4 linked regions of the Lepisosteus oculatus genome follow. The protein of the gene in region 1 binds, or shares a complex with, the protein of each later gene. Links are inferred from orthologs where the notes say so. Each region holds a gene or a part of one and is shown in the gene's direction. Other genes may lie near its edges. The genes, in order: cwc22, rbm48, rbmx2 and snip1.

The links.
Region 2: cwc22 (region 1) and rbm48 share a complex: the UniProt entries of both Homo sapiens proteins name them as parts of the minor spliceosome. The link is inferred for Lepisosteus oculatus from reciprocal best matches to the Homo sapiens genes CWC22 and RBM48.
Region 3: cwc22 (region 1) and rbmx2 share a complex: the UniProt entries of both Homo sapiens proteins name them as parts of the minor spliceosome. The link is inferred for Lepisosteus oculatus from reciprocal best matches to the Homo sapiens genes CWC22 and RBMX2.
Region 4: cwc22 (region 1) and snip1 share a complex: the UniProt entries of both Homo sapiens proteins name them as parts of the minor spliceosome. The link is inferred for Lepisosteus oculatus from reciprocal best matches to the Homo sapiens genes CWC22 and SNIP1.

The regions. Positions count from the first base shown.
Region 1 is NC_090707.1:19,010,169-19,017,459, forward strand, and holds the start of cwc22 (pre-mRNA-splicing factor CWC22 homolog), read left to right. Parts: upstream 1-4,277; 5' UTR 4,278-4,304; coding exon 4,305-4,367; intron 4,368-7,291. UniProt on the Homo sapiens protein: Required for pre-mRNA splicing as component of the spliceosome. As a component of the minor spliceosome, involved in the splicing of U12-type introns in pre-mRNAs. Promotes exon-junction complex (EJC) assembly.
Region 2 is NC_090705.1:5,011,719-5,019,733, reverse strand, and holds the start of rbm48 (RNA-binding protein 48), read left to right. Parts: upstream 1-4,997; 5' UTR 4,998-5,056; coding exon 5,057-5,167; intron 5,168-5,463; coding exon 5,464-5,654; intron 5,655-6,072; coding exon 6,073-6,218; intron 6,219-6,535; coding exon 6,536-7,116; intron 7,117-7,653; coding exon 7,654-7,725; 3' UTR 7,726-8,015. Other genes in the region: peroxisomal ATPase PEX1, read right to left, coding at 209-332, 655-774, 1,433-2,130, 3,201-3,315, 3,527-3,610, 3,873-4,019, 4,463-4,570. UniProt on the Homo sapiens protein: As a component of the minor spliceosome, involved in the splicing of U12-type introns in pre-mRNAs.
Region 3 is NC_090703.1:47,213,521-47,221,326, reverse strand, and holds the start of rbmx2 (RNA-binding motif protein, X-linked 2), read left to right. Parts: upstream 1-4,796; 5' UTR 4,797-5,268; coding exon 5,269-5,276; intron 5,277-6,586; coding exon 6,587-6,702; intron 6,703-7,328; coding exon 7,329-7,380; intron 7,381-7,550; coding exon 7,551-7,680; intron 7,681-7,806. Other genes in the region: glucose-dependent insulinotropic receptor, read left to right, coding at 950-1,987. UniProt on the Homo sapiens protein: Involved in pre-mRNA splicing as component of the activated spliceosome. As a component of the minor spliceosome, involved in the splicing of U12-type introns in pre-mRNAs.
Region 4 is NC_090706.1:12,463,934-12,470,836, reverse strand, and holds the start of snip1 (smad nuclear-interacting protein 1), read left to right. Parts: upstream 1-3,887; 5' UTR 3,888-4,033; coding exon 4,034-4,209; intron 4,210-5,139; coding exon 5,140-5,245; intron 5,246-6,087; coding exon 6,088-6,653; intron 6,654-6,903. Other genes in the region: caspase-13-like, read right to left, coding at 371-492, 642-976, 1,167-1,213. UniProt on the Homo sapiens protein: Required for pre-mRNA splicing as component of the spliceosome. As a component of the minor spliceosome, involved in the splicing of U12-type introns in pre-mRNAs. Down-regulates NF-kappa-B signaling by competing with RELA for CREBBP/EP300 binding.

The DNA.
Region 1 (7,291 bases):
GATTTCCCAAGCTTCAAACATCCCAAGGAGCACTGTGCAAGCGATCATCTTGAAATGGAAGGAGTATCAGACCACTGCAAATCTACCAAGACCTGGCCGTCCCTCTAAACTTTCAGCTCAGACAAGGAGAAGACTGATCAGAGATGCAGCCAAGAGGCCCATGATCACTCTGGATGAACTGCAGAGAACTACAGCTGAGGTGGGAGAGTCTGTCCATAGGACAACAATCAGTCTTACACTGCACAAATCTGGCCTTTATGGAAGAGTGGCAAGAAGAAAGCCATTTCTCAAAGATATCCATAAAAAGTCTCGTCTAAAGTTTGCCACAAGCCACCTGGGAGACACCCCAAACATGTGGAAGAAGGTGCTCTGGTCAGATGAAACCAAAATTGAACTTTTTGGCCACAATGCAAAACGATATGTTTGGCGTAAAAGCAACACAGCTCATCACCCTCAACACACCATCCCCACTGTCAAACATGGTGGTGGCAGCATCATGGTTTGGGCCTGCTTTTCTTCAGCAGGGACAGGGAAGATGGTTAAAATTGAGGGGAAGATGGATGCAGCCAAATACAGGACCATTCTGGATGAAAACCTGTTGGAGTCTGCAAAAGACCTGAAACTGGGAAGGAGATTTATCTTCCAACAAGACAATGATCCCAAACATACAGCAAAATCTACAAAGGAATGGTTCACAAATAAACGTATCCAGGTGTTTGAATGGCCAAGTCAAAGTCCAGACCTGAATCCAATCGAGAATCTGTGGAAAGAGCTGAAAACTGCTGTTCACAAACGCTCTCCATCCAACCTCACTGAGCTCGAGCTGTTTTGCAAGGAAGAATGGGCAAGAATTTCAGTCTCTCGATGTGCAAAACTGATAGAGACATAGCCCAAGCGACTTGCAGCTGTAATCGCAGCAAAAGGTGACTCTACAAAGTATTAACGCAAGGGGGCCGAATAATTTTGCACGCCCCACTTTTCATTTTTTTATTAGTTAAAAAAGTTTCAAAAATCCAATAGATTTCGTTCCACTTCACAATTGTGTCCCACTTGTTGGTGATTCTTCACATAAAATAAAAAATTTATATCTTTATGTTTGAAGCCTGAAATGTGGCAAAAGGTTGAAAAGTTCAAGGGGGCCGAATACTTTCGCAAGGCACTGTATATTTGATGTATTTTTTTAAATTTTGAACTATTGCATTGCTGTTCCTCGTAGTGTTACAGCTACTCATACGGTTCCTGTACTGTATTTTAGATGAGTACTGCAGTAGTATTGCACTGGAATCTATAGTATTTCATGCATGTAAACATGTTATTTTATTATTGCATTTACTTGAGTTGTAGTTTTTCAGCCTTTGTAATTCTCCCTGGCATGAAAATCAATTACAGGTTGATGTTTTAAGGCCTCATTTTTAAAATGGACTATAATCTTGAGAATCTTCTATGGAACAGAAATTCATGTGTTTGACATTGCTATAGAAAAAGCTCAAATGTCACAGTTGGCCTTTTTCTAAGTATAGTACAATGCTTGCATTCAATCTATCAGTATTTGCACTTGCCTATATGGAACCTGATGTTGTATTTTTGAACATCCTCTTTTGTGAACATGTTCTACTTAAGATCTCTTCCAGATGCAAGAACATTGAATAACTTTCTTAAAATGTGGTTCCAGCTATTTAAGTTCTTAATTAAGAAAGAAAAAGGAAGGCAGTTTCTAAGCAATTTTCTCAACTCCCTATCTTAAGAAATGTCTACTAGAGCAAATTAATTCATTGCGCTATATTGATCATGCAAAAATAAAACCCAGCATTTTCCATGGAATGGTAATCTTAGGAAGTAGCTATTTTTCTCATAATTAGACTAGCAGAGACATGTAAAATATTTAATAGTGTTGTTGATGTAAAAACTGCAATCACTGGCTGTTCAGATTGATGGATTGCATTGAAAGTGATTATATAATAATTTCAGCAAACAGATTAGTCTGTAACACAATGTTATTAATAAAAGCTTAGTATAATATATGTATATGATGGTATCATTATGACTTGTATAAGCACCATGACCTTTCTAAAGCTATCTTGCTTGAAACTGTGCAATTCATGGCACTCCTATGGTCTTGACCTGATCAGCAACTGCTAAAGAGCCCTATTTTGCATATGTGTGACCAGTCCTTGACCGATTTCTGTGAAAGTCAACTGTCCAAGATACTGTCATACCGGTTTTGTGCTATGTATAGGCTGCTGTCCTACAGATTTGGGATTTTTTTTCACAATACACAGAGCATTGCCACCTTGCATTACCCAAAGGCTAACACAATAAATTATTAACGCCACTCATAGCTTCAGTTCTATGGACATTACTGACTTTATGGTTGTAAAAAAAAATATTTCTCAAGTAAACTGTGCAAAAAGAATGTCTCTGTTAAAAAATGCTATTCTTTTGAAAATCAAGAATATTTTGGTCCTTTCCACACCATTTACTCCACCAAAGTAGCTTCACTGGCAGCATCGTAAAGCATAAAGTGTCTCCTTAGGGAACACACTGCCATAAAAGTGGATGTGAGATTCATCATTAATGCCACCTCTGCCCCATGATGTAAAGCCTGCTCTAGTTTTTCTTGTCAATAAAAAATGTGTTTTCATGTAAACCACGAAAACAAGGCCAATGCCCCAGGGTAAGCAAATGCTTAACCATTACATCTTAGCTTTTATTCCAAAGACTCCTGTGGTTTTCTTTCTTTTTGTTCAATAAAGCTTAAAAAAGTAGAAAGGACAGTATTCCAGCCTTAAATGTGAACGTCTTCTTCTCATGAACAGACACTGAAAAAATATTCTGCTCTTCTGGAGTATTTTGTTGAGAATTCCTATACAAATAGAGTATGAATTTATTCCTCTCATTGACTCATTGAGTCATTTTCTATGTTTTGTTCTTACTGTATTTTTTCTGTGATGGCAAATCCTGTACTTAAAGGAGAATCTTTTTTAGGTTCAAAAGCATTACACCATCATTTTAGGTTGTACGAAAATCGGCAAAATGGAGGAGGAAACATGCACACACATGAATGGAAACCTAACTTTAGGGTAAAGAGAAATAAACAGTGCTTGTTAATAATATTTCATATTTACACATACTGTACAGTGCTAATTAGCTCACAATTTTATATGTTAACAGCTCAGCAGGTTTCCCAAAGTAACATAAAATCTCTCTCAGCATTCATACTTAAAGCTAAAAATGAGAAAAGAATGGAGGTATTTTAGTTAAGATTTAAAGTATAATATACCATGGATATTTTGTAATATGTACAGTATACAATGTCTCCATATGCAGTAATCAAATGCCTTATCAATATATCCATAATAAATAGGAAAATCATAATTCGTCGCATTTATGTGCCACTTTGCACCCCAAAGAACTTTACATATTTGAAGGGACCCATATTATCCACCAAAGGAAAACTGCATTCAACTGGGTAATGTGTGGCACCCATTTTGCACCACTAGCCCCATAAACAACAGATCAGGGGGAGAAGTGAGAAAATGCTTCACCTATTAAATTAAAAAATTCAGGTTGTACAAATTGTGCAGACCTAAAATGGAACTTATCTAGTGAAACAGAGCTCATCCCCGTAGTCTCACAAACAGTGTCCAGGGACTTTAACAACAACCAAACTGCCAGGACAGAAAAGCAGTTTGTACGGCACAGTATTCCTTATTGCCATACTGGGGTATTAGTTTTAGAAATCATGCTTCAAAGGAAATAGTTACACCTACTGGTCTACTTAAAACACATACAGCAGCAACCTTGGTATCTTTAGTATCTTTATCCCAAAAATGACCAGACTTCTGAGATCTGAGATCAGATCAAGTCAGGATCTAAGATGTTAATGCTGCTGTGAAGCATTCAGCTCAAAATATTACTGTAATGTTAGAAGTCATACAACTGCTACTTACAGCAGTCTTTTTGTTGTTCTTTTGTATGTTGCAGCTTTCCGGCTGTGCTGTGTTCGTAGACTACACTGAAATCTTCTTTAAAAATGATCTACAAATTGCTGATGAAAACAATAATTAACGATCTTTAAAATCACTAGACACGTTAGTTAAATCTTGTCTAGAACACAAATACCTCTATCTTTTTATCACTCCCTATAGTGCTGGTAAAGTAACGGTCTATTTTAGATTTCGATACACTGTACTGTGATTTCGAATTTCGCGTTCTTTTGCTGATGTAGCAGGTAGTGTGAGGCTCACCAATTCGTGCCGTTTGAGCACTACAAGGATCCGTAGGTGATCTTCACTTGAGGAAAGATGGCCGCGGAATCGAATGAAGTTGAAATTGAAACAAGACGCGACTTGACTGCAACAGAGGAGGTAAAAATAAAGTATTTTCATGTTCTTTGAGTGATATTGTTGTCATAGTTTCATAGGTAAATTATTTATATAATATCACTTCAATGTTTAGGCGTTCTGATCGTCGTAGTAAGGTTAAGCATTGACGAAACGTGTACAGGCCTTCCCTGTACTATAAAGAACTCCGGTCTGTCACACATGGCGCAATGCAAGTAAACATTTCTTCCCTTGGGTATAAAAACTATTAAAAATATTTCTGCATTATGATTTTAATACATTTCCTAGCTTAAAAAGTTTTTTTTCCCCTGTTACTAATATGACCCAGGTTTAATTAGTCGAAAATAAACTATTACTAGTATACGCATTTTTGGTTAGTTTATAACTAAAACATTGTTGAATAAAACGCGTTTGTCTGCATCATCTAAGGTAAATCTGGAGTTGTAGAGACGATAACTTAGTTATCAACAATATTAGAAAAGTGTACGTAAGCTTCTCGCATTTTGTTATTGTTAGGCCGAATTTAATAGGAACAGGTGTTGGTATATTTATTCCATTTTTCCCTCGGATACTAGATCCGTAAGTACACAAATTATGGCGACGAAGTTTTTATAGATAGTTCTAGTGCAGGTTTAGATTCGGTGGTTGTATAAAATGTTTTGGAAAACAATTAAGAGTTTTATTTCGTCCTGTCTGTGATGCGTTACTGGTTCCAGGAAGATTGTAGATGCTTTTCCTTCCGTTAATATACACTTGTGGCACTGCTTCACTCTTAGCGGATTTTCTCAAGATAAACTGAAATGTAGGCCTACATGCTGTGAATATTGGAAGTAGCAGCATACTCCATTTGATGAGGAGAAGTTCAGTTACCTCAGTGAATTGTGAGCATGTCAGTTACCCGTTTTCTAAACGATAACTGTTTATCGTTCAGTAAAGGCCATAGGGTTCATTTATGGTGAATTTATGTCGTTTATGTATTTTATTGATTATATGTAAAACACCCTTTCATTTGCTTTGTGGTGGAGGAAAACGTTAATGCCAAATGGACTGGTGTTGAAAATTCAAGTATTTATCCGTATTTTTCTGATACAATTAATATAAAATAGTCAAATAAGATAGCAGCACTAATTAAAATTATAATAATAATAATAATTATAATTATAATTGCTTACACTTATATAGCGCTTTTCTGGACACTCCACTCAAAGCGCTTTACAGGTAATGGGGTCTCCCCTCCACCACCACCAATGTGCAGCATCCACCTGGATGATGCGACGGCAGCCATAGTGCGCCAGAACGCTCACCACACATCAGCTATTAGTGGGGAGGAGAACAGAGAGTAATGAAGCCAATTCATAGATGGGATTATTAGGAGGCCATGATTGGTTAAGGCCAATGGGAAATTTGGCCAGGACGCCGGGGTTACACCCCTACTCTTTTCGAGAAACACCCTGGGATTTTTAACGACCACAGAGAGTCAGGACCTCGGTTTTACGTCTCATCCAAAGGACGGCACCTTTTTACAGTATAGTGTCCCCATCACTATACTGGGGCATTAGGACCCACGTGGACCACAGGGTGAGCGCCCCCTGCTGGCCCCACTAACACCTCTTCCAGCAGCAACCTTAGTTTTTCCCAGGAGGTCTCCCGTCAAAATTGAACATTGCCAGCTGTTGCTTAGCACTGCTTTTACTTTTCACTAGTGTAATATGTAGACAGTACAAGTTGTTTGAATTTTCTCCCCAATACCTGTGGTTTTGTGAACCAAAACCAGTTGTGAACCGTGAGATCTTCAAACATTTTATCGTCAAGATCAATTTGATTGCATTATACATATAATTTATGTAGCATCTCTGATGGTATTCTAGTTCCATCTCATACCTGCAGATTCTGAACTGATTTTTGAACGCAGGTAAATTGAGTGGGAAAGATAGAATTTTATTGTGAGGGAAATGTAGTTAAGGAAATGAAGTGTCACAGCATGGGGAAATCACTGAGTCTAATAGTGTAAAAAAAGTCAAGGGTGTGTGTTAGTTTTGTCGGAATGTTATCTTTTTATTTGTTATCTTAGTGTAGAATTAAATTCTGAATGTTTTCAAATGGTTTTGCATTCTTATTATTTAGAAAATGTTTTGAAAGGAATAAGCAGTCTGTCTAAAAAGTGTAAATCTCATGGGTGGTACTGAAAGGCAGGTGTGACTTTTATAATAATAATAATAAACTTTATTTTATATAGCGCCTTTAAAGGTGGCTTCTCAAAGCGCTTTACAGGATGACAATAACAATAAATAAGAAGACTACAACAATAAATAAGAAAATTTCACAAGACAGGACACAATTATAATTACAACAATACAACAATAACAATAGAGGAGACCGTGGAAGATGGTATTAAGAAGAGCAGAGGGGTGAAGAATGGAACCAGTTAAGTAAAGGCTTTTCTGAAAAGGAGGGTTTTGAGTATGGATTTGAAGGAGTTTAGAGAAGGTGACTCTCTAATATCCTTGGGCAAGGAGTTCCAGAGCTTGGGGGCATAGCAGGCGAAGGCCCTGTCGCCCATACAATGTAGACGGGCTTGGGGGACAGTAAGGAGGGCAGAATTTGAAGAGCGGAGGTTGCGAGGTGGGGAGTAGGGCGATAAAAGTTCAGACAGGTATTGAGGTGCCAAGCCATGTAAAGCCTTGTAGGTGAGCATGAGGATTTTAAAGTCTACGCGGAATTTGACCGGAAGCCAGTGCAAGGACTCCAGGATAGGAGTAATGTGAACACTTGCACTAGATCTGGTCAGGATTCTGGCTGCTGAATTTTGGACATACTTTTAGATATGTTTGCAAAATCTATTCTCTTCTGTAGCAGCAATGACATCTAAGACTGACATAAAATTATTGAAGCTGAATATGCTGACATATTTTTTAACAGAATTGTGAGACATTTACTTTGAGTTAATA
Region 2 (8,015 bases), on another chromosome or scaffold:
GCAAAGGCTAAGCAACATCATCCTGTGTATCCTGACCTAAAAGTAAGAAATGATCATCTGATAGGATCAAACCCACTTTAAAAGCCAAGGGACCTCTAGAACAGGTTTAGTTGGACATGATACCAGTTAATAGCTTATCCCATTCACTACTTTAAAACATCCTCCTCTTCCACTACGGCTCCGAATGAATGATCAGTAAAACACTTGCCTTCGTGGACTGGCAAGGCGACAAAGCTGGACCTCCCTGTGAGCCAAGGCAGCTCTTCATTATTCTGAGCTTGCAGCCAGTCCAGGAAAGCAGACTGGACATCCTGCTCCTTGACCTTCTGCGGCTGAGGAAAGGTAAAGATTAAACACTTCTGTCAGGTCTCTTAGTTTCAATATGGGCAACTGAGACATAAAAGCACCACAAGGCTGGAGCAATTTCTACACACAACAGACACAAACAAAGACAGGCACTTTCACTTAAGTGGGGGTTTCAGAAACAGAAGAGAAGCTGGGCTATACAATAACTAGACCAATGACTCCACTCAAGAAAAAAAAATACTCTAAAGAAACCCATGTGCTTTACACTTCTAGCAAAAATACCTTTAATCCTTTTAACTGGAGAGAGCTTTGCATTTTATCTCCTACAAAATCTACGGTTCAACTCACCAGTGATTGCAAGGGCTGCAATCGGACACAGGATGCTATTTCTGGGACTGAGTTTAATGGCTGTATTCTAACGGCTGTGCAGAAATCAATACCCAGTCTTCTTCTAATGGATTCTGAAATCTGTGGACAATAAGGATAATGAGACACACAGGCCGGGATTTGGAAAACAATACAAAGCAATATAGAAGGGTACTGAAACAAACAGTATATCAGTCATTTAACCACTGAATCAATGTGATATACAGTATTTGACATTTCCCATGCTTGTTCACCCAAAGACATTAAACTCCTTTTGAACCGCACTTAGAATCATTTACAGTGAGCGGCTTTGTTAGGATCCTAGTTCCATTTGTTCACAGAACACATTGGAATTCTTTATAGCATCTCCCCTGCTGCTAAAACAGTGAGGCAAATGGGCTATTAATGTATTTTTTAAATTAAATGTGTACAGTATATACTGTATCCTGCTATCCTACAGGTGAATCAACAAGATTCAAGGGAATCACTAGAGTCAAAAGCATCAACTACACACATTTAAAAACCTATTTTAAACCCTTTGTAAACATTCCTGTCACCAGCTCCAAATTGAATGCAGCCCTGTGGCTGTAATCGTACTGTATATCGACACTGTTGTGTCCAAGCAACGTGCTTTCCTACCCCTCGTTTACTCTTCCGGAGCAATCTGAGTGACGTACCTCGCTACAGTGTCTGAACCCACCAACTCCAGTAACGAGTCTGGAGCTCGAACCACTGAGCCGTGCTGCGGCCCCCCACTCACCCACACCCTCCCACCATACGGCATCCCTCTCCTGCTGCCGCAGCCCTGGGTGTCCGCCAGCTCCTCCACCCCATGGCATATGATCCTGACGGCCAGGGGCCCTGCGGCGCCCCCTCCGGACCCGAGCTGGTCTCCAGCGCCCCGAGCCTCGGGGCCCCTCTTCCTCTCGGGCTGGGACAGCGTCCTGTGCGGCTTTTCCCTTGGTTCCCTGGGGCGGTGCAGCCCGGACAGCCGGCCGTAGGTGACAGCGAACGGGGCCCCGCCGCGCGCCGCGCAGGGGTGGCGCCAGGGGAAGACGTGGGCTGCTCCGTGACCGGGGCTCTGCCGGCCGGCAGGGAAGGGGGCGCTCCTGCTCACTCTGAAAACAGAGTCCCCGAGGACGGGCGGCACCGAAGGGACAGCGGGAACCTCCCTCTGGGGGGCAGGGCTCCCGGCGAACATGGATCGGATCAGGCTCCGCAGATTGCGCCCCCCTCCGGGGGAGACGCACGGTGGCGCCCCGCGGTGGGTGCCCAACGCGTCTCTCCCCGGGGCGTTGTCTGGCCCGTGCGGACCCCGAGCCTGACTGGCATCTGCTTGCCAGTTCGGGGGGGCAGAAGGGCGCGCCGGGCTCTCCCCGTCTTGGCGCAGCTTGGGGGAGACGATCAGCTCGGTGAGCTGCTCCAGCCGGCCATACGGAGCAGCGGGCGTGAGGGCAGCTGGAGCCGAGCAGGAACAGGAAGATCAACGCGTTACAAACAGTCTGTCATTGTTTCTCGGGAGACAGATGCTGGACCACAATTGACATAACAATGACACATTTAAGGACTTAACACACAACATATGTGTGAACAATATTGTTGTTTTTTTTTGCTGGCTGGAGTTTGGAGGTTGTAATTGTATGAAGATTAATCATAGGTAAGAAGTCAATATCCAGCTTACACAAAACCACTATAGTAAGTCTAAACTTTGCCTCACACTAGGTTAACTACGTCATGGGAATACAACCGTAAATAACACTGACTGAAGTCAAACTTTCATGTTTTTTTCTAATGCAAGCCAGGGACTATTTCTAACAGCAAGCTCAATGGTCACTAAAACTAGCTTTAGTACACATCCAAGAAATCAGCAAAAGTGGCAAAAACATTAATTATTAAGTCTCCTACTAACATTGACAATGTCTTTTCCTCCTGCTTATGAATGAACACCTGATTCACGTATTTCAAAATTAAATACCTGGAGACCTGGAGCTGGGATTAGGCTCCCCTTAAACGTGTAATAAGTGTGTTTTACACACACAATAAAGTGACTCTTGCTGGCCTGTTTGTGTCTGTGTCTCCAATAATACATTTTAACAAAGGTAGGTAGGTTAGGTCCCCTTTTCAGGCCATAAAGGCCCATGGAGAAAGGGAGGCAGGGGCCACCATTCTTTTCAACCATCTGACACTGGAGGTGGAGGTGATGCGGTCAGCATCGCACTCCGGCCAGCCTGTTACCCCCAGAAGGATTAACCCCCGGTACTCATTTGGAAAGCAGGCTGAGTGGACCTGGGTGTCTTCAGGAAGGAATTAGAGCAAGCGAAATCACTTGCCCCTACCTGGGATTAATCCCAGGACCTTCCAGTCAGGAGCTAGACCTCACATTTCAACAAAACAAAAGCAAAATGAGTGCAACATCTTGCAGAGGAACACACGGGTCTCATGCCACTTAGGTCTTAAATCACCCGGCATAGCACCGAATACCTGCTACAGAACAATTGCGGATAGAGGGAAGAGTGCAAATTGCAAACCTATCCTGACGTAGATGACAGTGTGCTGGTCCACCCACACGGGAAACAGTCCGTTTGGATACACGACCCTTATCTGGTCAAGGAGGTGTCGCTCAAGTGCTGAGCTGTGAAGCTCCTGAAAGAAAAGTGACAGCCCGTCGTCAGCTCGTGTAATCTCAGTGGGACAATAACAAACCCGCGCCATTTTTATCACATTTAAGTGATGTCCATTCTCACTTCTGACAAACGCATGATTGGGTCAAAATGTGAATATTCAAGTTAATTTGTCATATACAGTAGATGAGAGCATTTGGTTTACATTAAAAAATTGCAGACTAAACACATACCAATATCTCCCAGTCATCAGATGACAGTGGTTCCACAAACACCTGCTGAATGGATAGGATCTGCCAGCAAGGTCTGAGAAATGCCTGGAAAATAATGTAATAAAACTTCACACATTCACATACAGTATAAAGAAACAGCACATATGTAATTATCACAATAATCGTCATCATAATGGTAACTTCCTTGTGATAAGAATGATGTTGTTAGGCAAACATAGAGTGAAGCTCAAGGGTTTGTCATGCAGTAGGTGGGTGTCTCTGTTTTGAGGTTGTCCTTTGCAGCCGTTTGTGTAAAATATGACACCAGAAATTCAGGAGCTGGAGAAGCTGTCCATGACATCCCTACCTGCTCTCCATCTTTGATTCCAAGCCTGGCACCCAAGTGCCTGTTGACCTCTACAACGCTCTCCCCCTGGAATGAAGACTGCAGGCATTTCGTCCAGCTGAGGTACACGGGTTGACAGCGGTCCCAGGAGAGCTCCAGGGCTTGGTTCTGATTGGAAACGCAAAAAGAAAACAGAAACAGAAACACCTCGCATCGCAATCACGCGGCCGAGGTCTCATCCTGTGGGGAGTCTATTAAAAGGGTCATCTCCAGCTCCTCACCGCGGAAAGGTTTCAAATGAATCAATCAATCAAGAAATCAGTTCTAGTACAAGACCGCTGAGTCCAAACGAGATGAAAATGAGAAACCCCCCTGCAAATACTGGACCGTGGCAGTCGGCTCTAAACCCTGCGCTGTATTTGAGTATCCGTCTCAGCTATGATTCAGACTCAAAGGTGTAAAGATCCACCTTATAAGCGAGTTTCGTATTAGACTGTATTTCGACATCTTTATTTATGCTAAGTCCTGACTACAAACAATACGCAAGCATTGGCAATTGGTTAGGTACATGGATATCACTAACACGACAACGTAAGGTCTCAGAGTACTACCTCTTGAAGGCGAAGCTGTGAAACTAAGCTCGAAGAGAGGTGCAGAAAACAGTTTTTAGCATTATTAAAAACTAATGTCACTGGCTGTATGCCATGGCTTCCCAGCATTGCTGCTGCAGAAATAGATATTACAAGATACTGTACAGCAGCGCTTCACCACCTGCAGAGAGGAGGGCAATGCGAGCGACTCGCTCTCCGGCTAGGAGCAGTTCAACAAAAATCGTCAAATTTGAATATTTTGTAGGTGCTGCTGCTGTTCGGTATTACAGCATCGAAGCTTTGCTGTGCACGAAGAGTATGTATTTCCCCCAGTACATCTCTGTGTAAATTAATTATTTGATATTAATTGTCTGTCACCCTAAACGTAAATGAAACATTCTTTTTTTAAATCTTATTGCAACGCGCATTGAGATTATGCACCAGTCCCCTAAGTATCAAAACAGGAACTCGGTTTTATTTTTCATTGGTTTAAAGCTGACAGACTACAGCCTATGGTACTGTACAATGATACGGGGGCAATCAGCGCCAGAAACCTTCCCGATTGGTCACGCTCGATTAGCTCTGTGTAGGCTGTTTCTGCCTTGACAGAACAAGATGGCTGCCTCCAGTTGGAGCATCCCGGAGATTTTAAAACACCACCAACAAACAGACGTTTGTTATACAAGAGCTAAATACAGGGAAGGGAGGAGGCTTAAGGCTGTCAAGGTTAGCTTTTTCCCCCTGTGTTTGTCTTTACCGAAACGATTGTTTCTGTACGTAGCCTGCTATATCAATTACTGTGTTCTGCTGGGCTCAAGCTGTCAGACAAGAAACATCTTTAAACTCTTTCAGATTAGAAACTTGCTTTTAATGCGGGTTTACGAAGTCCAGCACGACCACAGTATATTTAACCCAGCAGAGCTCTATTGGAGCAGTCTAAGAAGACTGACTCTTATTTATTGACGGTGACAAAGTCAAAAGCAGCTTTAGGAAGTGTAATATGTGCAATTCCTTTTGTTTAGGTTTATACTATCAACTTGGAGTCCCGCTGCTTGTTGGTCCAGGGGGTGCCTGCGTTGGGGGTGATGTCTGAGCTGGTTCAGCTTTTTGCTCTGTATGGAGTGATTGAAGAATACCGTGTGTTAGACGAATATCCGTCAGAACAATTCACAGAAGTGTACTTGATAAAGTTCCAGAAACTACAAAGTGCAAGGTAACAGTTCTGGTATTTTCATTTATAATACCACTTCACACCAGTAAGGTAACAGTGGTCTTCCTAGCATTTGGATCGAATTCACATTTGTGTTTCTTGTTCTGTTTGCTGTTTGTGTGTGTTTTTTTTGCTAACTGCTTGTTTGTGATGAACTGAAGGACAAAACGTTATGCCAGCAAGGCATACAGCCTACTCGACAATAAAATCTGGATTTCTTTAAGCACATTAATTCGAGTTAATTTCACCTGTTAATTGTGAAAGTGCAGAATATTCAGTGAATATACTGTGACTGTGTGATTTTAGTAAATATCCCTTTATTTTTAATACAACACCAAAGAAATAATTGCATTTTAAAATGTTGATAAAACGAAAAATCATCAGTGTCCCACAACTATTTAAAATATTTTACCCAATACAGAGTAGCCAAACGAAAACTGGATGAGAGGAGTTTTTTTGGTGGACTTCTACATGTGTGCTATGCTCCAGAGTATGAAACGGTGCAGGACACCAGGGAAAAATTGCAGGACAGGAGGAGGTATATTGCAAGAGTAACACGGAATAAAGGTGAGCTTTTTAAAATAAAAATCAAATGTTGAGTCAAATGAATCAAATGTTGATTCATGCTTTAGTCAGAATAGTCCTAAAAGTTCAGAAGACCTTCCCATTTAAAGCTGGGGGCCCATATTTGTTCCACTCTTTAAGTGTAGTTGATCACTTACACGAATTTAAAAGCTTTGTAAGGAGGTCTTATGTAATAGTTATGAATATACAAAGACAAAATCGATATTTGTTTTTTTTGTTTACCAGACCTTGTGGATTTAATGTGCATATCCTGAAATACTACGAGTGTTCTGGAAGTCAGGCTTCTTATTTCCTTCCAGGAGGAGACCATGATAATACAGAGAAGAAAGTGGAGAAGCCTAGTACATCTGAGGAAGCTGCATGTGAACAACAGCAAGCAGAGGAAACTGGTGATGATGGTGAAAAAGTCGAGAGCTGGAATGATTATTATGGCTATCCCATGCTGCCTCCTCCTCCTCAGGAAGACATCCCTGGGCATCAGTCGTTTGGGGAACAGACATATTTTAGCTTTAAGGGACTTCCGGAAGTGGGTTCTTCATCTGAAAGGTTCAGAGTGGTGCCCAGGAATCGTTCAGCTGATCACAGTAAGAATTCCTTGGGGGATCCCTTAGGGTCTGTTCGTAAAGATAAGCGAGTTCACAAGGACCAGAAAGATCCTGTTGCTGTAGTTAAAAGCAGTACTGCAAGATTCATACCAAGAACCACACATTTACAAGAAAGGAAAAGAAAAATGGAACAGGCTGGGGAACTCTCTCTTTTGGGAATTAACAGAACAAATGAGACAATCATTGGACCAAAACTACCAGAAACACCCAAAGTGGATATGGGAGATGATTCCCTAAACACTTCAGTCGACTTAATCAGATCAAAAATAATTAAGGTGAGTTGCAGATTTTAAGTTCTTTATAAGACCTTCACTGTCTTAGCATTTCATTTCTGTTATGTGTGTTTGGCATTATTCTCCATTTCTGCTGTTGTTCAGTAGGCCAGTAGAGCTGTTAAAAACACAAGCCATCAGAAACCTCACACATTACAGTACTTGTAAGATATTTGGAAAGGCTTTGCACAGTAGTGTAGTGTTACAAAACCAACAAGCATATGTGTGAGAAGAACTGCCCAGCTGGATTCCATGTGCATAACTTCCAATAATAGGACTATCAGATCTGAAATGTTTCTAATTCGTCTCTTTTAGTCCACATATAGATTTCCAAATAAACTGGTGCTCAGATGTGCACCTGTGTTTGTACATAATCCATTATGAGCCACTCATGCCTTTTTTTTCTATCGCCACCTTTCCATCTCTCCGAAGACTATTCAGTAGGAGACATATTCTGCCTCGAGGCACTGTGGAGTTATAACAATATAGGAAAACTGTGTTGGGGCATTTTACCATATTTGTTTTTTCTTTTGCAACCAGATCTCTTCGGTTCCAGAGTCAAAGCCAGGAGAGCAGCAGCCAATTGCCCCAAAACCACGCAGGAGGATTTAATTGTGCTCTTTACACTGGGAAACGCTCTGCTCGAGAGCAAGGAGCTGTGTGAATGAGGATGAGACATAACACATTGATTTCCGAGTGGCTCCAGAAGGTCTTCAGCATTCCAAAACGGTCATTCTCGGACATTAACTAGAATAATAAGAAGCCCATGAAATCACTTTGATTAAATTAATATTGATATTTGAAAGGTGCTGAAGAAACCTCCTTGCTGAACAGAAGTAGGAGGAACAATCCAGATAAGCATTAGAACTAATACAGTCTGGCGTTAGTGTTTTGACCTTAAA
Region 3 (7,806 bases), on another chromosome or scaffold:
CATCAAACTGGATGAAAAGAAATGTAAAAAAGAGGAATAAAGTAATGAGGAAAAATGACAACTCAGTTCAAAGAACAGTTTAGAAGTTGATGGATCCTTTTTTTCTAAGTACAGATCTGCAATTTTCTTTAAAATTGTTTGTTTGTGTTTTTAAGGCATACACCACACGGAATCCTCTAGGAAGATGACTTTTCCTTCCGGTGTGTCCTTTATCCCAGGCTGCGCTTATGGGAATGGGAATTCAGCCAGATTCCAGACTGGAAAGGGGTGAAAGACTGAAAGACCACAGCTGGCTCTGCATACGGACAGGGCTGTGGAAACAGGGAGATCAGAGCATTGGCTGGAGGGAAATGCTCTTCTGTTTTTTTCCAGGACTGGTGCCTGGGTGCTCACGCTGTCTTTTGCGGTCATTTCGCTTGTTTTTGCCTTTTGACGCGCGATCCTTACGCATTTCAACATCAGCTGCAGTTGCAGACTTTGCTTTTCTGCCCCGGACTCTGCTCCAAATCAAAACCTCTTTATCCTGGGGGGGGGGGGGGGAGGGGCACCTTATGCAAAAGCAGATTGTGGCTTACGAATCCGCGCCCACTTATTTATTTATTTTACAGTTTTTTTCATGCTCTTGGCGACTCCTGTTCTTGGGGGAGTGTGGAGCAGCGCACTCCAAGGAGGGAGATAAAGGGTAGAGAGAGGGAGGGTGAGTGAGAGAGGGCTGGAGGACAGATAAGAGAGCTCTGCATGGGCTGTGCATGTGTAGAGCTGCTCGATGCCTCTGTGGATGGAGCACTAAGGCTGCAACTAGCTTGCGTCTGTAGACTGGCACCCCAGATGCACACAGTGTGGACAGCAAACCATGTCTGTCACCCAGGACACACAGAGCACGGGACAGGCCTCCTCCTGTTAACTCTCCTGCCAGCGCAAGGGCAGTGCCAGGGATCGATCACCAAGCATGGACGCTGAGCTCTTAGGCTGGATCCTGAGCATCAGCTCGGTGCTCATCATCGCTACCAACGTGCTGGTGGGCGCCGCCGTCCTGCTGCTCATCCGCAAGAAGGGCAGCCAGAGCTGGGTCTTCGTGCTCAACCTGGCGCTGGCCGACACGCTGGTGGGGCTCGCCATCCCGGGCATCGCCACCGAAGTGATCGGCGCCCACTCCTCCTCCACCCACAAGACCAGCTGCCTCCTGCGCATGGCCTGCGTCACCTCCCCCTCCGCGGCCTCCATCCTCTCCATGTTCCTCATCTCGCTGGACCGCTACCTGGCCATCAAGCTGCCCCTGCGCTACTCCCAGCTGACGGGCCCGCGCACGGCCGCCGGCGCCCTGGTGGCGCTGTGGCTCGTCTCCTTCCTGGTGGGCTTCCTGCCCGGGATGGTGCGCGAGCTGCAGCAGAGCGACTACAAAGGCTTCTGCACCTTCTTCTCGGTGATCCGGCCCCAGGGCATGATCGTGGTTTTCTGCGCGGGCTTCTTCCCGGTGCTCTCCGTCTTCATCTACTTCTACTGCGACATCCTCAAGGTCGCCTGCGCCCACCAGCGCCAGATCCGCCGGGCCAGGCTGGCCGGCTCCCGCCTGCCGCAGCCCGGCCACTTCGCTGGCCACATGAAGGCCCTGCAGACCGTGGCCCTCCTGGTCGGCTGCTTCACCCTCTCCTGGTCCCCCTTCTTCGTGGCCAGCACGGTGCAGGCTCTCTGCCAGGACTGCCGGCTCTACCACGTCATCGAGAACTACCTTTGGCTGCTGGGGCTCTCCAACTCCCTCATCAACCCCCTGGTCTACGCCTGCTGGCAGAGGGAGGTGAGGCAGCAGCTCGGCGTGCTCTTTGCGACGGTCAAGGGCAGGATCTCGCCCGCCGCTGCCGCCATCGCCACCGGGAGGCGCCAGGCACCGTCGACCACTGGGACCACAGAGCTCAGTCACACCCCTGTTCCCACAGTGCACTGCGGCGCGCCCGGGGAAGGACACGCCAGCGCACGGGGCTCTGTCTAACCCCTCCTGAGCAAGGGCACCAGGGGTACGCCCGCCGATGACAAGGGGGTGTCTGAGCTGGACGTATTCCTGGAGAAAAAACAGCCGTTTCCTTTAGTTTCTACTCCCGTCCTGCCGTCTGACCCGGAGCTTCGCAAGTAAACAGCGGGATTTGGGGATACCAGCTGGCACGCTGTGCTTTCCGACTGCTCCTGCGGCCCAGCTGTACCGCCACGGGCTGAAAAGACCAGATGGCTGTGTTTGCTTTTTCGCCGGGGTTCATCAGTCACGTTAAACACTTTGCTAATTGACTTAATCTTTTGCTTCTGCACTTTGTTCTGTTCTTCTATTAATAGCTATCAAAATATACAAAGAGAGGTTTGCGAAATGGCCAAAAACTTCTAAGCAAGCCCGCCAAAGGCATGTCTTTCAGGTGCCCTCAGGCTACAGCACAAGAGGTAGTGTTTAGAAACTATATTTGGAATGCCCAGGTAGGTACTGTTTGGCAGCACGATGCAGTAAGGGGTCTGGAACATTTTATGTCACTGCATTTGTGTGTGTTGGTGTATCAGTGATCCATTACCTTATACAAAGCCAGAGAAATACCTGCTCATCAAACAGCATACACAACTAGCATCAGCAGAGCACATCTGTGGGCTGGTAATGGCAGCAGGACTAAAAGCATATTCTGCAGGTGTTTGTGCTTCTCTAGAATACCTTCCTGCTTCCTCAGGTTTTACCCCTTTCTTGCCTTGGTACACTGTCTCTTTAACCCTCCTCAGACTACTTCGACTTAAGACAGTCAGTGGCACGGACTGGAGTGCCAAATGCTCCATCTCTCCCTTTCAAATTGATGTAAATAGTAAAAACAAAACTGTCCCGTGGAGTCTCCCATGTGTAATCTTGCCACCTGGTTTATGAATGGGCGCAAACAACTTTCTTGTCAAAAGAGAAATAAACTTCTTTGCACTGTGTTCTTGCACCGAAACTGAATGGGGATATTACTGTGAGTCTTTTAGGCAGGAAGAACAGGAGCAATAGGCGGGATAACAGAGCGACAAGCAGGACAGTTTAGGCTCCGTCAAGCCGTGAAATAATGTCAAAGCCGTGAACCTGGGAAAGAATCATTTATCGTAACTCTAAGAAGACCCAATCAGCATCAAGACACCAGCGTTACTGTTCTCCTTAGAAAGGCTGACTCAGCTCTTAGGGAGGGGTGCACTGCGAACACCTAGCCTCTCTCAGGTCCTGGGTCCCCAACACAGCAAGTTCGGGTGTGTCTTGGTTATCCCACTCTCCCCCTGGAAATCTGTGTCCGCAGCCCAGAGGCGCACGTGGCGTTGCCACGGGGACGCATGTTTTTTCTCATAGTAATAACAATAATATTTTTATTTTATTTTATATAGCACCTTTAAAGGTGGCTTCTCAAAGCGCTTTACAGAATGAGAACAACAATCAATAAAAAGAATACACAAGATAAAACACAATTACAATACACAGAGGAGACCGGGGATGGTGGTACTAGGAAAAGCAGAGGGGTGAAGAATGGAACCAGTTAAGTAAAGGCTTTTCTGAAGAAGAGGGTTTTGAGTCTGGATCTGAAGGAGTTTAGAGAAGGTGACTCTCTGATATCCTTGGGGAGAGAGTTCCAGAGCTTGGGGGCATAACAGGAGAAGGTCCTGTCACCCATACAATGTAGACGGACTTGGGGGACAGTAAGGAGACCAGAATTAGAAGAGGTGGGGAGTAGGGCGATAATAGTTCAGACTGTTGTTCAAAGTGGATTTAGATACCCTATTTAGAAACTAGATATAGTCCACCTAGAAACCGATTTCATTTACGTGTTGGCAGTCATTTTTTGCATTATAGTAAACTCATTAAATACACCAAGATACTATTTAAAAACACACAAACAGCGGTCTCCCTTTTATCTGTTCCGTAATCGGCGAAGGCGCAAACACGCACACGCAACAGCTGCCTTCGTTATGAGAAATGCTGGGAAGATTTATGGAGCGCGAGCGAATTATAGATACCGATCAGATACTGAAGTAGACATAATACGTGCAAGGGTGATTTTTTTAAATCAGCCGTAGAGTCAGTGCGTCACGACTCTTACCGAGCAAGTCTCCAAAAGGAAGTTCAATCTATATTTTTCCCATGTGCGCACTAGGTTATTGTCCAGGTAAAACCGGAAATGAAACAATTACACAAATTCAGTTTCAGTGTAGCCAAAGTTTTTGAAACCGGACAGATATGCCTAGTTATTACTTTATTTATGTTACTGCTAATGTGACGTGAGAAATGATCAGACATGACAGATCCTGCCCATTAACGAAACACATACCATCCCTCAACAGGACACGTGCGTGGATTTAACTAGTGATTTAATTATTTATAAACATTTATAAACTCACGTTTAGGTGAAACTGTTTATTTCATCACCCAAAGTGACGGGAAACACGATGAGAACAGTAGAAAAAATTAAACCCGGGGAATACTTTTCTTTTGTATCATACTGCTACGTTTTTAGTTAAATTGGCTAAATTTGGACAAATGGTGTCTTTGATTTTGTGCATCAGTTGCTGCGCTCTAGGTTTTCAGCTTTTATTTTACAGATACGTATCTACGCACTTTTAAAATTAAATGTATAAAGAATTTACAAATACAACTAGAGGAGCAGAAACAAATAAAAGAGAAAAAACACATAAACAGAAAAAACAACGTTTTGCCACAGGTAATGAAGAAAATTATTTACGTGACCAAATAATATTTTTTACATAAATCAAATGTTTTCCTTGCTTTAGCATTTTTCATTTTTTTTTAATTAATTCTAGTATCTACGCATTATACAGATTCTGCAAACGGCTCTTCTATAATGACCAGTGTCTCATTGATTGTAGAAAGTAACTCAAACCCAAACACTGTTTCAAGACTTTCCGAATAGGAATTATGCAGAGGATATGAATGAGCTGAAGACACAGCATGTGGATCTCAATCGTATTTTAAGAGAGCGTTAAGTATCTCGGGAGTTTTCAAAAGGACACGCGAAAATATACCACTTTGCTATTTCAACAGACGTTGGAGTGAAAAATGTTTTTATATTCGGTATGGACCATCTTCCTTGTTCCTGTTATATGAATAAATGCAATTTAAGATACATTTTTATTATAAGAATGACTGTTCCCTCAAAGGACACTCTCCACTCGCAAGCTAGATATTTTTGTCACATGATCCAGTAACAACCCGGAAGCGGAAGCAGGAGAGAGAGGGGTCATTTGGATATCGTGGGAGTGAATTCGTTCATGATGAAGTGAGTATCGACCTTCTATTAGTTTTTCCTATTTTTCTAAACTATTGCTTTCAATTTAAAATGAACCTTTTGCTGTTTTTAATTGTATAGTGGCGAACGGGTGATGTTATGTAAATTAAAAATGACAAAGCTATCGACCAAGTTTAGCTACCGGTATTGAAAGAAAAGCTTCTTTTTATTACGTGACCAAAACTCACAGCCGCAACACCGACCTCATTCTGTGATACTGTCCTTATCGGCTTTCTCCAGCTTACAAACTTTGGATTTTAAGAAATATTTCATCCTGTGGTTAGCTACTATCTAGCTCTATGTTTTGTTTTGATTTTGGCAGCGACTCTGAGGTTCCAAATTGGGGTAATTCAGTTAGCATTTGTTTTGCATTGTTTGCGTTTTTACTTTTTTTATCTTGTATAAACTCAACCGAGTGTTTTCGCTTCTCTTTAATCGTTGTTGAATTTACACAAGCAACGCAGTAAATGCAGTTAGGTGCCACCTTGTGGTGAGAAGTGGAATTGCTTACAGCAAGTTGTGTAGGACTTCACTAGTTTAAAAATGGAAAATCACCTCTAATTCTACAGAACCGTCACCCTCTTAATAACACAATCTATGAGTCACTGCTTATTATCATTTATTATAATTTCTTACATTTATATAGAATTTTCTGGACACTCCACTCAAAGAACACTACAGGTAATGAATGGGGGACTCTCCTCCACCACCAGTGTTGAGCCCCACCTGGAAGATGGGACGATAGCCATAGTGCACCAGTACGCTCCCCACAGACCAGCTCTCAGTGGGGAGGAGAGCGGAGTGCTGATGCCAGTTCAGAGAGGGGGATTATTAGGAGGCCATGATTGGTAAAGGCCAGGGGGAAACTTGGCCAGGACACTGGGGTAACACCCTTACTCTTTTCAAGAAACAAGACCATGGAGAATCAGGATCTCAGTTTAACGTCTCATCCGAATCATATTGAACTTTCCCCAGTAACGGAAATGGAAATTAGTTAACCTTTCCTTGCTACAACACAGAACACGTAGGCCTGAACTAAATCAAATCTTTGACTGACTCGGATCTGCTTAATTGGATCCCAGTTAAACTGTCCTAAGCCTGTCATTGGACACTGATGGTGATATCAGGTGACCCAGTCCCCCTGAAGTAGGGCTTTGCATAAGCAGGGTTAGAAATCCCTCCTCTGTAGAAGAATGCATTCATGGCAGGCTGGCAGATAAGGACAGAATTGTGAAGGGCTGCCCAGCCTTGCTGTGTGTGTATTGCAGTGGGAGTCAGTCTTTTTCTCTGTCTCTGCGCAGTCCTCTAACCAAGGTGAAGCTGATCAATGAGCTGAACCAGAGGGAGGCGGAGCTGGGAGTGAAGGAGACGGTGTCCTGGCACTCGGAGTACAAGGACAGCGCCTGGATATTTATAGGTGAAGACAGACCTTCCTTTCTCTCCTCTGCATTGATCGCTGTTTATAAACTCGCATTATATGGTGACTGATGAGAAAGAACTACATTTGCAGTGGTGGAAGGGCAGATAAAATGCTCACACTGCTTAGGGCAATGGCTTTAAAGTTGTATCACTCCTTTATTGTGGATCCTTATTGCTGGACAGCTTTAGTGAGGCCCTGGACTCCTGACTGGAAGAATCCCAGATGGGGGCACTGCTACTGTACCCCTAAGTAAGACAGTTTATCCAGATTGTTCCAGCAAACCAAGCTGCACAAATGGGTACCAAAACCTGTATGTACAGGCTACCCTCTGTACTACTCCACCGCAGGAGTGACAGGTGATGGATAAAAATCCAAAAAGAACCTGGAAACAATTGGTTGTGAGGTATAAGTAGGCCAACAGATCAATTAGTTGATTCAGTTAAGTTATTAAGATTTCTTCTGGAAAAAAACCCAGGAGGCCCCTGTTTATTTGTCCAAGAGTGGGTGACTCACTTATCTGTGTTTTCATATTCCTCCAAAGTTAGTGATTCCTACTGGATTTGCTGTTATCTGTCAACCATGTGTGGGTGGCTGTTTTGACCTGTGTGTGTGGTTTCTGGCAGGTGGCTTTCCATATGAGCTAACGGAAGGAGACGTCATCTGCGTTTTCTCACAGTGAGTGTCTGATATTATACGTGTTTTCACCACCTCAGACCACGGGTTTCAAACCCGTGTGCTCAGTGTTAATGCCCTGTTCATATCCCTTTCCACCAGTGACATGTCTCTCTCTCTCTCTCTCTCTCTCTCTCTCTCTCTCTCTCTCTCTCTCTCTCTCTCTCTCGCAGGTATGGGGAGATTGCCAATATCAATCTGGTGCGGGATAATAAGACTGGGAAGTCGAAGGGCTTCTGCTTTATCTGCTATGAGGATCAGAGGAGCACCATCCTAGCTGTGGATAATTTCAATGGGATTAAGGTAAAGGCAGGGTGTTCAAATGACCAATTCTGCACAGCCCGGTGACCCGGCCATCCTCTGGACAGTGTCCTGGGGGATAAAATACAGAAGGCCTGACAAATTTTGAACCCTGATCTAGCGACCCCT
Region 4 (6,903 bases), on another chromosome or scaffold:
ATTTGAATTGTATCTTCATATCACATAAGAAAAAATGGCCTGTATTGCCGTTGTATGGGAGCATGTTCCATATGGTCCTGTGTGTAAATGTACCAAATGCAATTGCTCTATTATATTTGGTACAGAAACTGCTGCAGTTTTTGTGGTGTGTATCAGAATAGTGCAGCTAAACCATCTACAATAGTTTTGATTAATGGGGTATCAGGTGGTTTTGCAAGACTAAATTAACACTGTTAATCATACAGGATTTTACTGATTCTTAAAAAAGGATCTTTCAAAGGGCTCCTTGAGGAATCCCACAGATCTAACTTCCCCCAGGGCTCTACTCACAGGAAAAAGAGAGGATTTTGGATTTGACTTGCAGGCCTACCTCCCCTCTCTGACTGTCCTGAATGTGTCTCCTTGTTTCCAGAGGACAGGGCTTAACAAAAAGGTTTGGCTTGTCCACAGGGTCCCTGGCTCGTTCTGTTGTCCTGTTTTCATCCAGAGGTTCTGAAGAGACAAAAGATGGACAGCTCGTGTGACTTGTGTGGGACACCCTCTGTGTGGAAAAGCAATGCCCAAAAATATTTTTCAAAAGAATTATCATTTGCTCTCATTGGCACTTTCATTAGAGAGAAAGGAATCAAACCATTACTTACCCTTTTGTTCTAAACAAACAGCCATTATCCATCTATAGTGTCTGCGGTATGCCTTTCCATACAGTTCTGCTAGAAGCTGAAGGAAAGTAAGGGATTTTTTCTTATGAATGATTACTGCCACCAGTTCAGCCATCTGGTGTTTGACTGGATATTTTCTCAACCAGTGGCCTTCAGCTGGAGTAATCAGGCCTTTAGAATATGTTAGGCTTAAAACATTTTCAGGGTCCTTAGAAAGTAGATCCACAAGTTCAGATTTTTTCTTGGCAATCCATTCAGAAGCCAGACTCTCAGGTCCTGCCAATATAAGCCACTCTTTCTCCCTTGGCCCTCGGATACTGTATAAACAAATACAGACAAGTCAGACATAAAATTATAGCGACAAACAAGACATACATACAGATGCGCCCCATCCCTGACTAGAATCCACTCCAGCAAGCAACAGACTGACTTTGTTTCACACCCTAGCAGGAGTTCTGCATTAATCTGCGATTTATGGATTTAAAACAGTTATTTTCTTTAACTTACAGTTTCCTTCTCCAGTGGACATCAGGTGCTCGCTCCATCTTCTCCATAATACACAGAGACTGGCTGTAGCCCTTACAATCTAAATGCAGCAGTGGGAGTAAGAGTTTAAGTCCTCCCAACCCGTTTTCTTAATTTCCTTGTGTGACGCCATCAGTAATGAAAACTGGTGTCTCTTCCAGTAAGAGAAGCATCAAGATGATTTTTTTTCCGGAGACACCTTTTGGAAATCCCACTTTATACATAGATAAATGACTGAACTTTGGTTTTGCCTTTCAGTTAAGAGATAAGATAAGATGACTTTATTAGTCATATCCAATTTCTTGCATTAGCTCTAGAATAGCTCTCCATGAGACACACAGAGAGGGAGAGAGAAGCTTGGGGGTTAGAGTGCAGGGCAGCCATTTATACAGCACCCCTGGTGCAATTGGGGTTAAAGGGCCTTGCTCAGGAGTAGGATTCCTCTGTCAGCTGTGGGATTTGGGCCGCAACCTTCTAGCCACAGGCACCAACCCTTAGCCACAGTGCCACTACTCCACCCACTAGTTAATGGTTAACTAACAAGTAAATGAAACAGCTGAGAATCTGTCTAATCAGCTCTAGCTTTCCAGAAAGAGCAGTAAAACTCAAATTGCAGTAGGCTGGAGAATTGTTAATCCTCTGTTCATGCAGAAACCTCCATTACTGTTTGTATATTTTTTAAAGCTGCTATAAATTTGTGAAAATAATCCAGTATATTTATATGGTATTCCACTCACATTCAGAAGCCTTAATAATCCAGACATGCATATGCAGAGCCAATTCATATCCATCCACAGTTTTCACATTGTGTTGCTTTAAAGTTTGCAGTCATGACACCTTGGAGTAGTAATTAATACCTGTTACATACGCAACCTACTTCACACATTCAAAAAAAAAAGAAGTAAATATATAATTTACTTGGCTAAAAATGGAAAAGTGTTAATTACATAAGCATTCAAGATGTTGTGGAAAAGGTAAATTAATTTAGGTGAACAAAAGTACCTTAATGAGTCTTACAATACGTTGAGTGGCCTCTGTATGACATAATATTGGATCTCTTGATTTAAGAATAAAACCGATTCTCTATATGAGGGTCCTTAGTCAGGTAGTGAATATCATGACTAAGTAGCTTTCAAACTAAAAAGGATCAAATCAATTAAAAACACAGATCAGGAGAAGGGTATTAAACATTCAAAGTCTACTCCAATCATCAAGAAATATATCACCCACACTGTTGCGTTCTCAGACCCTACCTCCAAAGTGAGCATCAGACAAGGAGGAAACTGGTGAGAAATGCCACTTTAAGGCTAATAACAACTTTTAAGAGTTCGATGGCTGAGATGGAAGAAAATGGGCAGTCAATAATTTGTGTCACATACTAAATCTATTTGGCAGGTTGTAAGAAAGCCAGTACAAAAAATAAGTCAATCCAAAGCCTGCATAGAGTCTGCAACAAAGCACTGCAGTGATCCTGCAACCATGTGGCAAAAGGTGTTGTGATCTGTTCAGATCACATTGGAACTTTTTGGTGCAAACGCCAGCAGTACATTTGGTACTGTCCCAACACAGCACATTTCCCAGTCAACTCTCTGAAGTAAGGTATGGTGGCGATGCTTCTCCTCCTCCTCCTGGAACGTTTGCTAGGACTGGAGGAAAATGGACAGTAAAGTCCACAATCAACTGGTGAGATCTTGAACAAATGGCCGAGAAGAAACCATTTTTTTCATCTGTGTCATAAACACCATATAAAAAGGAATACTTTGGCTCTTAGCAGTGGACGTCTAATTCATATACTATTGAAAGTAGCAGATGGGGCTGAAGACACAAACCTTAATGGTAATAAAAAAAGAGGCAAATGGAAGCTTTAAAACATGTACCTGGATATAGGTTTTTAAAACAATGTCAGAAATGCTACATCATTCGGAACATGAGAGAACTGAAGACCAGGTTAATCAAATATGAAAATAAAATGATTTCAGTTGTTAAATATTACAAATGCTCAGATTCACTATAAAAATACAGGTAAACTAACCATAACCAGCCTTCAAATGTAACTAATCATACGGGCAATATGTTCTGTACTGTAAAAATGTTCTAAATATTTAAAATTTAGAATAAGTGTGCCTTGTAAACATTGAATATTTCTAGCATAAGCACTAAATGTTAAATATATTGTTATATTCATAAAATAATATAAAGATACATTCATTACAAATAACCGACGTTGAGACGTATATTCTCAGGCTTTATGTGGTATATAAGAGAAAATATTAAAATAACTAAGTTTTAACACTCAATTTACAATGTTTAGTTCACCTCCTGGTGTTCCGGGATTTGCGCCAGATCGCAACCTTACAAAACTAGCTTGTCGAAGAACACACGAATACATTAATTTACAGTTAATACGTGACATTATAAATATTATGTGTGGGTTTAAAAAAATCTGGAAAAGCAGAAGCGTAGGCAGGCTGAGACGTATGCCTGGGTCCTTGACGTTATTTACGCAACACAGTTTGTTTTTTTTTAAAACACATTTATTTTAATAAAATATATTTTGAGTATATTATGGAATTTCTATTGTAAAGAATGCCAGTACATCATAAGTCTCACTTAAACTGATTTATATATTGAAAAGTTTATCCCATAGTATCGAATTAAGCGGAACGATATAGCTCGAAAGGCTTGAAACATCCGGATCCCATATACGATGTGCCCGGAACCGGAATAAGCCCGATACGAGTTCTGTGGTAGACGGACTTTGCGTTTGTGTAAGGAATTACATCTGAAAAATATCTGCGATGAGAGTGTTTTAAATTCTCCTAAACGATATTAGACAAATCGTTTGAGAAATGGACAAGGAGAGAAGACACAGAAAGCTGGAGTCCCCTCCTTCACTGAAGGAAACAAAGACGAAAATTAAACAGGAGAGGCTGAGCCCCGTCAGGCCTAAAAGACCTCGCCGCTCGAGTTCGGCGTCAGATCGCAGCAGCGCAAGCCCACCCCCGCACAGGAGAAGAGCCAGCAGGTAGGGAGGGTACAAGAAACGAAAGCTGGGAAAAAAATAATAGGTTTTTATGTATTTACAAATACTAGGCGTTTTATACCGTATCTCACGAAAGGAGCCGTCTTTTGGTAGTGCATTATATACAGCGTTATAGGAGCTGCTGTGATTGAAGGCCTAGCTCTTTCGATTAAGTTAAATACTGGGTACGCCGCACGTTAACTCTGTTATAGTCCAAATGTAGTTATCCGTTAGGAAGAAAATAATTTTGCGGCTGAGATCATTCCAGTGAAATCAACATCAACAAAGAGGTCAGGACAAACAGAATTTCAGTCAATATAAATAACTTTGTATTATTTAATAGGGGGAATTGCAAAAGGGGTCAACCCTTTCCTGTGTTTGAACATTACACATCGCGGTACAGAGGCGTTATTAGGTGGGAGTAGTGTAAATCACATCGGCGGGGGTGTCACTTCCACTCTATGATGCTGTATATAGTTAACGTTTAGGCTGGCCTGATTTACTTTGATGATTTTGCTACCTAGGTTCATTATTTTACTCCAGCCGGTAACAATTTGAAGTGCCGACCGATAAGACGTTTTCAGGAAAAGATTTATAGAAAAGTGTAAACCTGCCTCTGTCCATCCCCTTGTACAGTGCAGCACTAGAAATTGCATCAAGCCTCTCTGAGTGATGCTCTGCTGTGGTTGTGTTTGGGATGTGACCTCAGGCATTGCAGAACGCCGTGCTTCTTTATCCTAAGTGGGTGGCTGGGGATGTGTTGAGTAGATTGTGCAGACAGGCAGGTCCTACGGCAAGGTAATGCAAAGTTTTGGGGTTGAAGACTTAGCTATTAAGGTTTCTTACCGTCTTCAGTGTATAAAGTGTTACTTTAGTGACTTGAGCAAGGAGGAATATTTTTGTTGTAGATTTATGTGTGAACTATGTTGATAGGTCACCGCCCAGAGGAAGAGACAAGTCCCCAGTGAGACGGGGCAGCAGGTCTCCTAGGAAGAGAAGGAGCACAAGTCCTCCCTGTAATGATGTAAGAATAAAGCAGGTAATTCACATCATGGCTCCTTTCTGTTTTCCCAAAGTCCGTTTTGTTCTTATGAGGCTATGGTGTTGAGTGGTGACTCAGTGTGGGGTGTGTCCAGACGAGCCATCGAGAATGGCTTCAGCACCTGTGTGGAGGTGGAAAGGGCGACATCAGCACCACAATTCAAGTGTTTAAGATGGTGCCAGAGACCTGGCACTGTAGGTGTCAAAGGGTTTAACTGGAAGTAGGATTGCGTGCACACATTGTTAGCCAGGTCTCTCAGTTAATTCTGATTCTGGGTGCAGAGAGAGAGAGTAGGTGGCAATGGGATAAGTGCAGTATTTTATATTTCATAGAAGTGTTTTAGTGGATGCAAAAAGTCACAGCACTGGTAAGCGAAGGTTTGAAACGTGCTTTGCATTGAAAAAGGCCATTTTCTGGCGAACACACACAAAGTGCATCTTTCTGTAACACTCTGCATTGAAATATTCTCAAAGAGTTTTCATAATCTGAGTACAACCCCAGTGTCTTTCTGATATTACTGTGGATGAGTGTTGAGGAGGGATCACTGCATATGCATTAGAATCTACGCAGAGATTTCTAAATGGGGCACAATGGCTATTTTTGAATATATATATCACATACAACAGGAGCAAATTTCTAATGAACCCCAGATCAGATTCTGTAGTGTTGCACCAGTGAGGTGTGTCTGAAGGGTTTTACATTCAAGCACTGCTCTGAAGTCCAATGAAAGTTATTCCTCTCCTGGGACAGGAATAGAAACATATGCCTTGTTTTGGAATAGGCCTTTTTCTTGGGCTCTGAGATTAACGTGAGATCACCCGGATTGTGGTTGTTGTCAGGAGCGAGATGACCGCCGTGGGAAGGAGGAGCGGAGGCACAGAGATCGCTCAGAGGCGTCTGACGACATGCGGGGCAGAGATGCGGGAAGGGTCCGACACAGAGACAGGGTGCCTGAGCGGGACAGGAGGATGGGGGAGCGGGGCCGGGACAGAGACGCCCAGGTTTTCCAGCAGCAGCAGGCCGAAAGGGAGCGCCACGAAGAAAGGAGGAGGGAGAATCGGCAGAGAGACGAAGATCGCATGGACTCGGAGGACGCGGGCTTCGGTCAAGAGGAAAATAACGATGACAACCCCGTCCAGAAGGAGCAGCCCAATTTCGAACTGTCCGGAGCCTTGGTGGAAGATACCAATACGTTCCGGGGGGTGGTGATTAAATACAACGAGCCCCCCGAGGCTCGAATTCCAAAGAGAAGGTGGCGGCTCTACCCTTTCAAAAATGACGAGCCCCTGCCAGTCATGTACATTCATCGCCAGAGTGCCTATCTCTTAGGCAGACAAAGAAAGATCGCAGACATTCCCATCGATCACCCTTCTTGTTCGAAGCAGCATGCAGTGTTCCAGTACAGGTGAGCTCCTTTTTCATTGCAATCTCTGTGGGGGTTAGTTTGCCCTTTTGCCTGCTCTAGTTACAGAATTAAAAAAATAAGAGATCTTTAAGTTCTAAAAATCAGAGTATTATCTGTCTCCACATTTGGTCACTCCAATTTTAAATGTTAGCTTGCTGAGTTTAGATTACTGTTACACAATATGTAAAATCAATAGGTTAAGTTTTATTATTATTATTATTATTTTGTTTCTGATTGACATGTGGTTCTT